Linked DNA regions of Arabidopsis thaliana. The protein of the gene in region 2 interacts with the protein of the main gene of each other region in a pairwise test. Each region holds a gene or a part of one and is shown on either strand. Other genes may lie near its edges.

Evidence for each region. Proteins that work in one complex are often made in the same cells at the same time.
Region 1: the proteins of AT1G31760 (region 2) and AT2G02060 interact in a two-hybrid assay, tested with the Arabidopsis thaliana proteins (one large-scale study listed by BioGRID).

Annotation. Positions count from the first base shown.
Region 1 is NC_003071.7:492,970-498,328, reverse strand, and holds AT2G02060 (Homeodomain-like superfamily protein), read right to left. Parts: upstream 3,585-5,359; 5' UTR 3,569-3,584; intron 2,949-3,568; exon of another isoform or gene 2,654-2,948; 5' UTR 2,639-2,653; coding exon 2,479-2,638; intron 2,285-2,478; exon of another isoform or gene 2,247-2,284; intron 2,061-2,246; coding exon 1,984-2,060; intron 1,878-1,983; coding exon 1,838-1,877; intron 1,565-1,837; coding exon 1,423-1,564; intron 1,298-1,422; coding exon 1,168-1,297; intron 942-1,167; coding exon 720-941; 3' UTR 551-719; downstream 1-550. Other genes in the region: AT2G02061 (Nucleotide-diphospho-sugar transferase family protein), read right to left, coding at 5-304.
Region 2 is NC_003070.9:11,371,838-11,376,205, forward strand, and holds AT1G31760 (SWIB/MDM2 domain superfamily protein), read right to left. Parts: upstream 2,465-4,368; 5' UTR 1,578-2,464; coding exon 1,365-1,577; intron 891-1,364; coding exon 765-890; 3' UTR 557-764; downstream 1-556. Other genes in the region: AT1G31750 (proline-rich family protein), read right to left, coding at 1-194; ABCG14 (ATP-binding cassette 14), read right to left, coding at 3,415-4,065, 4,159-4,346.

The DNA of each region.
Region 1 (5,359 bases), on a different chromosome or scaffold from region 2:
TCACCGGAGACAGAGACGGAGATGGAGACGGAGACGAAGAAGAATCGTTGACAGAGGGGAAAATGCGAGAGAGGGTGGAGGAAGAGTCAGAGACGATTCGGAGATAACCAGAAGTTCTGTAGAGGGAGAAGCAGAAGCAGATGAAGAAGAGCAAGAGAACGGCTCGGAGTACATTGCCGGAGCACGGTGGGATTACGACGGAAGTTACGGCGGCGGCGGCGGAGGAAGAATGATTCTCGTCGGAGTAAGAATCGTTGAGTATCGCCGTCTTGGAATTGGAGCCAAAACGGTTCGATAGATTCATCTTCGCCGACGTTGACGACGTTGGTCATCGTCTGGGCGGTTATAAGGTAGTTTCAAGTTTTTTGAATGTAAAACGCGGCGTTTAATGAGTTTACCCTCCAACGATGAAACGCAGCGTTTAATGGGTTTTATCTGCGAGATTATTTTTTCTACCGTAGGATTGCCGACCAAAATAACAATGAACATTCTAAACCGTAGGATCTTGATATAGAAACGCTGCGTTTAGGGGTTATCCTTCAAAGATCAAAACACTGCGTTTGGCTCTGTTTGTTAATTTTCCGTTCAAAGGCGATCAAAACGCTGCGTTGATAATTTATCTAAACTTCATTTTCTAGGTTTCTCTACTAACATTCAATATCCTAGTTTCAAAAACACATCCGAATAGTTTCTCTGAACCTAAATCTTGCATAACTTATTTAGCTACCGAGGAGAGAAATTGACAGATTAAGATCAATCTTTGAAGAACCAAAGCAATCTTTGGATACGAATGGTGCTGAACAAGTCGAGACTGCTGCTTCACTCGTTTCGCTCACCACCGATGATCCATTGCTTCTCCAATGATGATGATTTAACGACAGAGACAACGACAAATCTTCTTCTTCTTCTTCGTGTTCTTGTTCCCGCCACTCCTCTGTTCCCTAATGAACCAAAAGACAAAATTAGTTACCAAACCGGACTAAAACCGGTTAAATGCCATTTATATGAAACTAATTAGATTCAATGACAAGTAGTACTTAAACCGGACTCAATCCCTTTGGATTTGACCAGTCTCAATCAGACCGGTTAGAACTCATAACCGGACTTGATTTTGTTTTGCAACATTAAATTTCCAAACCGGTTGACAAAAGAGAAATTTATTTATACCTTGGGGAAATGATGTGACAAAAACGTCGTCGTATCGTTCATCTTCTTGATGTGAAGAAAGTCAGCATCATCATCATAACCACCAGACTCTGAAGTCTGCTGCTCTTTTGTTCTTCCTCCTCCTCCTCCTCTGCACCAAAGTAAAAGGACAATTCAAATACAGACAAACAAAAAAGCAAAACACTTTTTTTTTTTTTTTACTGAAATAAAATTAAAAAACTTTGTCAGAAAACAATTATAAATAAAAATAAATACCTAAATGAAGAATGTGAAGAAAGAGGAAAAGAGTGAAAACCCAAAAGACAATCATTCCTTGTGTGTAAAGACAAGTTGTCATGAAGATAATAATCTTCTTCACTGTCTTGTCTTCTTCTTATTGAAGATGATGAGCTTTCTTCTGTGTAAGAAACAATAAAAACTAGTTAATGAATATTCTCTTATTTTCTGTTCTATTACTCTTGAAAAATATATAAATGTATTTATGACATTTGTCTTATGAATCATGACACTAGACCAATAGTACATACTACAAACAGATACAGTAAAATAATTAAATTCCATCCATTATTATGTGTTTGATGTTAACAGTTCAAATTAAAATCAACGGTCCCATTCTTTTTCCAAATATCATCATTGATTCATTTCATAATTATAAGGAAAAAAATAATACCTGGTTTCTCCAAAGTGAGCTTTGAACCTCCTCTATACATCTGTTTATATATATGTTCAAAACAATCAAAACAAGGTGTTATGAATGAAATATGAATAAAGAAGAAAACAAAATTGATGTTTTTGGTAAAATTAATTACTATTTACCTGAAGGTGGCTTTTGACATGTGAAATGGTAAGTCCCTTCACATCCATCATCTTAAGAACAAGTTTTGGTGTTGCTCCTGTTTCATCAAACCCAACAAAATATCAAAAAGGTGACTATGATGATTCTTTATGAAAAAAAACAAAAACTCAAACTTTATGAATGAAACAAAACAACAAAAGCGTGAAGGTTTTGACTCGGTAACTTGACAAAGATGATTCATTACGATGATGAAGATAAACAACACAATAAGGAAACTTCAAACCTTTTTTTTAGCATAAAAATCCAAACTTTGAAGATAAGAATGAAACAAAGTAACAAAAGTGTGAAGATTTTATTCAAAAACTGATTTTTTACGATGATTGAGACAAAAGAATGAGAAAAGTCCAATTTTTCTAGTTATATCGTAACTTTAGGATGTTTGAAGCAAACAAACACACAAAAGTTTGGTTTTTTTCACAAAAGATTTGAAGAGAAAAAAAGTATAATAAACTTACGGTGTTGACCACCGAGAATCTCGACGGCGTGAACGAAACAACGGTGAAGATCCGGCGTCCATCTAAGCCGTGGAACTGGAGACCGTACGTAAGGTCTAACTCCGTGAAATTTATTGCCGTTAAAGCTTCCGTTACCATTTCTACCACTAGACTTACCCATATCGTTTCAAGAACCCTAAAAACCGACACAAAGATTCGATTTTTACTTAAACCCAAGAGAAAAAAAGGTTTGATATGTTTTGGTTCTGTGAAGAGGAGAGAAAGAGAAACGAGGAGAGGAGGATTTGAGAGGTGTGTGGGTTGGGATTAAAAGAGCAAGTTTTTGTTTTTGGCTTCTTTCTTAAAGATGACTGTCTCTTTTTCCATCTATTCTTTTTGTCTCTTTTTGGATTCATTCATACTTATTATTATCTCTCTATATATGTTTTGCAAAATTCCAAAAAATAATTATTAAAACTTGAGAAATGTTTCATTCATTTTTTTTGTTAAATATCAATTTGAGTTCTTACGAAAAAACTACATTAATTAAAAGAGAGTTATAATTTTGTTGTTTAAGAATTGTTCATGACATATACGTGAGGAATTTGAGGATACGTAAACTATCGTAAAGTCAAAATTTCATAATCTGATATGGTTTATGGTTGGGTCACTTATTTAGACGATTAAACTAGCAAATAAAAAGAATGATGTTATAAAATTGGTTTATTATACTAAACAGAGAGGTGACATGTGTTTTTTGACCTACAAGCTTGTAGTAATCATACGAAAATCCATTTGACTTTGGTTACAAAAGTAGTAATCATACGAAAATCCATTTGACTTTGGTTACATTAGTCTTGACTCGTGACCCCATTCATTATTATCTTAAATAATTTTTTTAAATAGTTTTCGAGAGAATCATTGCATATCAACGTACCAGAGAACTACACAAGGCTACATACATAACTTGCATGAAAAGAACATAGATTCGAGTATTACCCTTGCCCCGATCGATATATAACCAATTGAACATACATTTGTTAGCTTAGCTGGTCAAAAGAATATACTTGTCATAGAAAAACCAAATTTTGTAAGAACACATAATATTTACCTTATAGGGATTTGGGATTTACCCAAATGAAGAAGTTTCCTCCACAGTACCTCAAACTTTACTTTCTCACTTTTTTCACGATAGGTTTTAGACCAAAACGAATAAATTTAAATGAAAATAGCCCAACTGCTTAGCTTTGACCATATAGCATAATTATTATTCCTATTTTTGTTTTTTGTTTTGTTTTTTTAGGGTTTCGTGTTAAACTTTCTGATTTCAAATAAATCACACAATTTTACAATGGTCCTTCGTTATGTCTTTTGGACCACCGTTTTGACTTCATTCCCCTAATTCCTTTACATTTTCTCCCATTTCCCATTCATTTTCCTTCTTATTGTTTTCTTTTTCACTCCCATAATAAGTGATAATAAATCTTAGGATAATATTTATAACAAGAATTATTTATTTTCCCCATTTTTCTTTTTCTCATTGCTGATTTGGTGTACATGGAAGACGAACCAAAACCATCATGTCCCTATATGGTAGCCGACAATAATTACTGATTTCGCCAGTTTTTTCCAACCATGGATTCAATATTTTAATCAACGAATTGTGGACATAAATCACGTTATTTTATCAGCTATTCTACTATTAACTACTTATATTAACATCAAATACTGTTTTTAAATGATGTATGTATTTCTTGTAAGAAATTAAGTACTAGTATATAATTTTTATGTAGTATTAGAAAGTAATTGATTTGTACTACATACTTACTCGTGGTTTACGTGGTATCAGCCATAATAATAAAAAAATAAGAAAAAGCCGATTGAGTATTAATTAAGAGAACAAAATTTAATAATTTATAATTTAACAAAGTCGTCGTCTTTATTCCACACATAAATCAGACATTTCTATACCCAACGAAAAAAACAATCAAATAATAAAATCTACACACAAAGTGAGGTCATTGACCTTTAAAATGTAGCCTATTGTGCTTTGCATTTTCTTCTCATTTATGCACATTCTCTAAATTATTATAAAAACGTGGAATTCTCTGCATATATGCCAAAATTCGCTTTAACGATTTTAAAAATGGTTTAGTGTTTGATTAGACGGTAATTAAAATATAATATTCAGTCACCAGCTTGTCAAAGACACACGAGTTGCTTATATTACCTATATATTGACTAGAAGAATAATACAAAAAGCTACCTAGGTTATGATCATTGATCAAAATAATCAAGTAAACACATTCCAAAAGGTTTTATCAGTGAAACAATTTTACTATATTCACTAATAAAGCCTTTTATTATCCTACTGATGATCATTGATCGATAAACACAATTGCATGGATGGATAAAATGTCTAACCGAGAGTTCAAGTCTCAAAAATCAAAATGGTTAGTACTAATACATGTATGAGAGAAAGTGGAAGCAAATGAAAATAATACATTAAATGAGTCTGGCAGAGACAAATAGCTCCAAGAGAAATTGAATGAGTAATTGACTGTGGAGGTCCATGATTCATGGCTTTTACCACAATCAAAACATTCAATAATTCTCTTTGCTTGTTTTTTTATTAATATTATAAAACTTTGTACATACATGTAAGATAATGTAACCCAACTGGATTTTGGACTATAAAAAACATAACATTCTTTTTTGTGTGTGGAAAATTTGGATGTGCAAATCTCACCGAACCATTCGACGATTATCAATGTTAATTTATTATTCTATTGGGTCAATTTTCTCATCACCCATTGATTGAATTCAATCATAGCACATGCAAGAACAAGGCAAATTCTAAGATGGTTAAAGTAATATAAAAGGTGTAATCCATGAAACACCT
Region 2 (4,368 bases):
CCGGGTGGAGGTGGGTAAGCGGCCGGTGGATAGCCGTGAGGTGGTGGAGGATAACCTTGCGGAGGGTAACCTCCCGGTGGAGGATAAGCTCCCTGCGGTGGAGGAGGATAAGCTCCTGGCGGATACCCATGGCCGTGATGATTATGATGTGAGAAGAATCTTTTGTCTTGTTCGTGGTGGTCGTCTTTACCCATCTTTAATTAAAATCAAGAACTTGAGAGATAATAAGATGATATGAATAGAGAGAGATACAAGATATGGAAAAATGAACTATATACTATGTTATGTTTAGACACATACATGTGTGCGATATTTGGTTATGTGTAGCGAAAAAGGCTCTTAGCTATTGATTTAAACCGAAATGGACGCGTTGATGCTTGCTCGTTTTAACAACGCATTCTTATTCCTCTTCTGATCATGACACGTTTCTTCTCCATCAGAGGATAAAATAATTGTGACCATTCATATGCATTAAACAATAATAACGAAATCGTTGCTCACACGACACATTAGACTATTAGAGCAGAAAGCCATCAAAGATTAGAGAGAGGAGTAATTTCACAAAATCAAACAATATTAAGATAAAATGGTCAAACTACATAATATTCTCCGGTAGATGGATCAAAAGAGAGTTATTGTTTTGGTTTGTTAACATACCAAAGTTCAAACGGGTTTAGAGTTTCATATACAACCCGAAATGAACCACAAAAGCCAAACCATTTCTTCTTAGATAGATACAACTACGTTAGATAAACATCACCAAATCAGACGGATTTAGGGAAATGTGGTGAGAGGAGCTTCATGATCTCTGTGATTCCGACTTTGTCTTTGCCATCGAAAATCGTCTTCAACTTATCATCGCAGTGAATCTCCTTCTTGTTCGCCGGATTCTACAATGAGGCAAGAAATGAATCACTCAAACAGAAACTATGAATAATCCAGAAAACAGAGAAGTTTATGGTCTACATTAGCTGCTTGTTGTTTACATTGAACAACCAATTCAACATATAGACATCATCTGTGTGTATTACATTAAATAGACTAATTCCAAAACTCAAAGAACACTACAATTCCAAGTTCTCTAAGATAATGACCAACACAACAATCCAAGTAATCTTCACAACCAAACCCACAAGATGCTTCATGTATATAGTCAAAACCAAACAATCCATTCTCAACCACAAGATAACATGCATTTTACTCAAGATCCATGTTCTACATAACAATCAAATCATCCGCCACTAAAATGCTTAATCGATTTAGTTTACATGCAACAATTCCTTCTCTAAAGCAACCAAATCCCTAAGTTCATAAACAGATCTACGCAAAGTAAAAACCTTAGAAAGCTCCAAAATCAAACAAACCTGGAGATTGTGAAGCTTCACATACTCCCAAACTTTCTTCAGAGCGGAACCACGAGTGAGTTCCCTTTCTCCGGCGAAGCTAGCTAGCTGCTGTGACACCGGACGAGTCTTGAATATCCCTTTTCCTTCTCCGGCTACAGTAACGGCCTCAACAGTCGCCGCCTTCGACATCAGTGTCCTGAACCCTCCCAAAACCCTAGAAATTCCCGCCATTTTTTATTTCCGAAAAGAGAAACAAACAACGACTAGAGAAGAAGCTAAAACCCTAACAACAGTCAAATAGAGAAAAATTCGGCGAGAGAGACAAGAAAGACTCTTAAAAGAAGATCGCTAAACTCATTTTGGGCCTTTCATAAACTATGGGCCTATTTGGGCTTCATAAAAAACGAAATATTTAGGATGTTTTATCGAAATTAAAGGTAAATGTAAGAGCTAATGTGCAATTTAAGAAGATAGCTAAAATTCAGTTTGGGCCTATTTGGGCTTCAGAAAAAAGAGAAATAATTAGGATGTTTATCGAAAATAAAGGTAAAATGTAAGGGTTAATATGCAATTTAAAATGAACTTTTAGTCTTCGGTGACAAACGGCACCGTTTAATAGTTTGATGCCGGTCGCTATTCGTACATGGCGGATGCTCCGTCGCAACATCGCCGTAGAGAGTCTTCTTCGCCGCTGCGTCACCGTCAACTTGGATGAGACATATTCTTAAAAGGAGAACGATGTGGTGAGTGGAAACCCTAATCGATATCAGTGGTTGTTAAATGTATTAGTTGATTTTAGTTGTCTTAGTCTACTAGAGATTTTTAGTTCTTGTCTCTGAGTGGTGAATGACAAGGTTTTTCACAAACTTGGTTAATATCTATGACTTAAGAGATGACATGTTTGCTCATCTTCTCTGGTTAGTTTATCTTATCTTTGTTAAGATAAAGATGCTTATGGTCATTTAGTAGACTAAAAACGGCAACTTGTGTAGTTATTATATGTGGTATAAAGGGGGAAAGAGCATGATTAGATCATATGATGATCTCTCTTGCTTTCGTATGTATATCACTCACTAGAAAGGATGATGTATTTAGGTCTGAGAAAGCAACACAAGTTAGTGAATGACGTTTCAAGTTTTTACTTGGAAGGGTTAGAAGATGGTTCTTCTAGGTGATGATAATGACACTTGACAAAGTAGAGAGTGACATGGATTTCTCTTCTTGCATCAGCTTCCACTTGACTAAAGTGAATCACGTTTTAATGTGTAAGCATATCTTGTGGGCCTTTCTCATCCAATGATTTGTTTTTTGCTCCTCTATGTTGTTTTGCAGACACTGTAGCTTCCCCACTTCTTCTTTTTGGTTTTAAATTATTGTGTAGCTAGTAACGATGTGAAGTATAACAACAGCCATTTAAAGTTTCAATTATTCGACTCGTATTTATCATGAAAGCGAAAGCACATTATTCCTGTAGCTATTGTTGACATAAATTCTGCAGTTGAAAAAAGTCTATATGTGTGGTAAAGAAAACTTCAAAGTACCAGTAAAGTTACTTGAGATGATAAGGAGAGCCATGGTCAGGTGTGTTTGCTTATGTCCTGTCGTTGTTAGTCTTATTATCCGCAAGTTGTTTAATTATCTGATACATACATTTCATTGATTTTCACCAGTTGATATGCACTTGCAGGTGACTAGTAATGTGTAGAGATAGAGTAGACCTTTTCTTTTTAAGGAACCCCACAAAAGATACAACAATCATTTCCATGGAAGAGTGGACCGAAAGTTTAGTCACTGTTTTTGCAAATGGGAATTAGTATATACTTGGTTTCCCTTCTTATCTCATACATTATCTCACTGTTTTATTCTCAAACTTAGGAGTACTATCATCATCTAGCCTAAAATAAAAAGAAAGTCGTCGGATATATATCTCGGATACGTAAGTAAAATCGACCAAAATTCGACGACTTTTATCTTTTCTAATACTACTATTATTCCTTGGTTGCAGTGGGGAAAATTTTCTTTGGAGCTTCTTGGAGTTACTTAGTTGTTGTTACCTTCGGCTGCACGTTTACCGCAACTTCACCCGATGCAGTGCCATGTAAGCCATGAGCCGATAACCCACCAACATCACTCCCATAACAAACACGTCTATCCAGAGATTGTTCAATCCCATTGACTTGATTGCTGGGAAGTCTCCAACTCTGCACCAGACTCCTTTTGAACACTCATAGTAGTCGTCATCAGTGTATTGAATACCCAAAAGCAGCTTGTAGCAGTAGTAGCTGTAGCTTAGGTACTTGAGCCATACGATGAAGGGAGGAATTTGTTGCACGTAGTATCCTCCGGCTATGAGAAAAACGAGTGTAGTAACAGATGCTAACGTTGTGGCTTGCTTGATGTTCATAAGCAGAGCACCGAAGGCTAAGCCAAGACCTTGAGCAACAAGGACAGAATAGAGAACAACCAGTAGCGAGAGGATAAACGTTGTTGGGTCAGGTTTAAGTCCACCCATCCAGTAAATTATGAACACAAAAGCAGTTGGAAGGGCAAGTTCCAAGGGCAGGTCCCCAACGTTTCTAGCCATGAAATAGGAGGAAAGACGGTACATTCCGGAAGACCGTTCCTTGATTAGCATTCTTTTCTCTTGTGGAAATGTGAAAACCGCGTTGTATAGCGGGTAGAAGCCCCAAAAGACCGAGAAGAAGAAGAGCAAAGCAGTCTGCATTCAGAATAAATGTAGAATGATGGTTAGAATTAGAATACTGATGTCTGAATAAAATGTGTGTTAGCATCTAGAAGAAGAGAGCCTTACTCTATCTTGGATGTGAGATTTTGGAGTATGCCACCATAAAAGGCCACCAAGAAAAGCAACACTGATGACTTGGAAAATCCTGAGCTTGTTGAAAGATTCGAATCTCCTCTCTCTGACTCCTCTTTGGAGCAATACAGTGAACTGGTACCACCAAGTTGTGCACCATTGTTCTGACTTGAGGTTTTTGGCTGCTCCATTTAAAGAACAGAT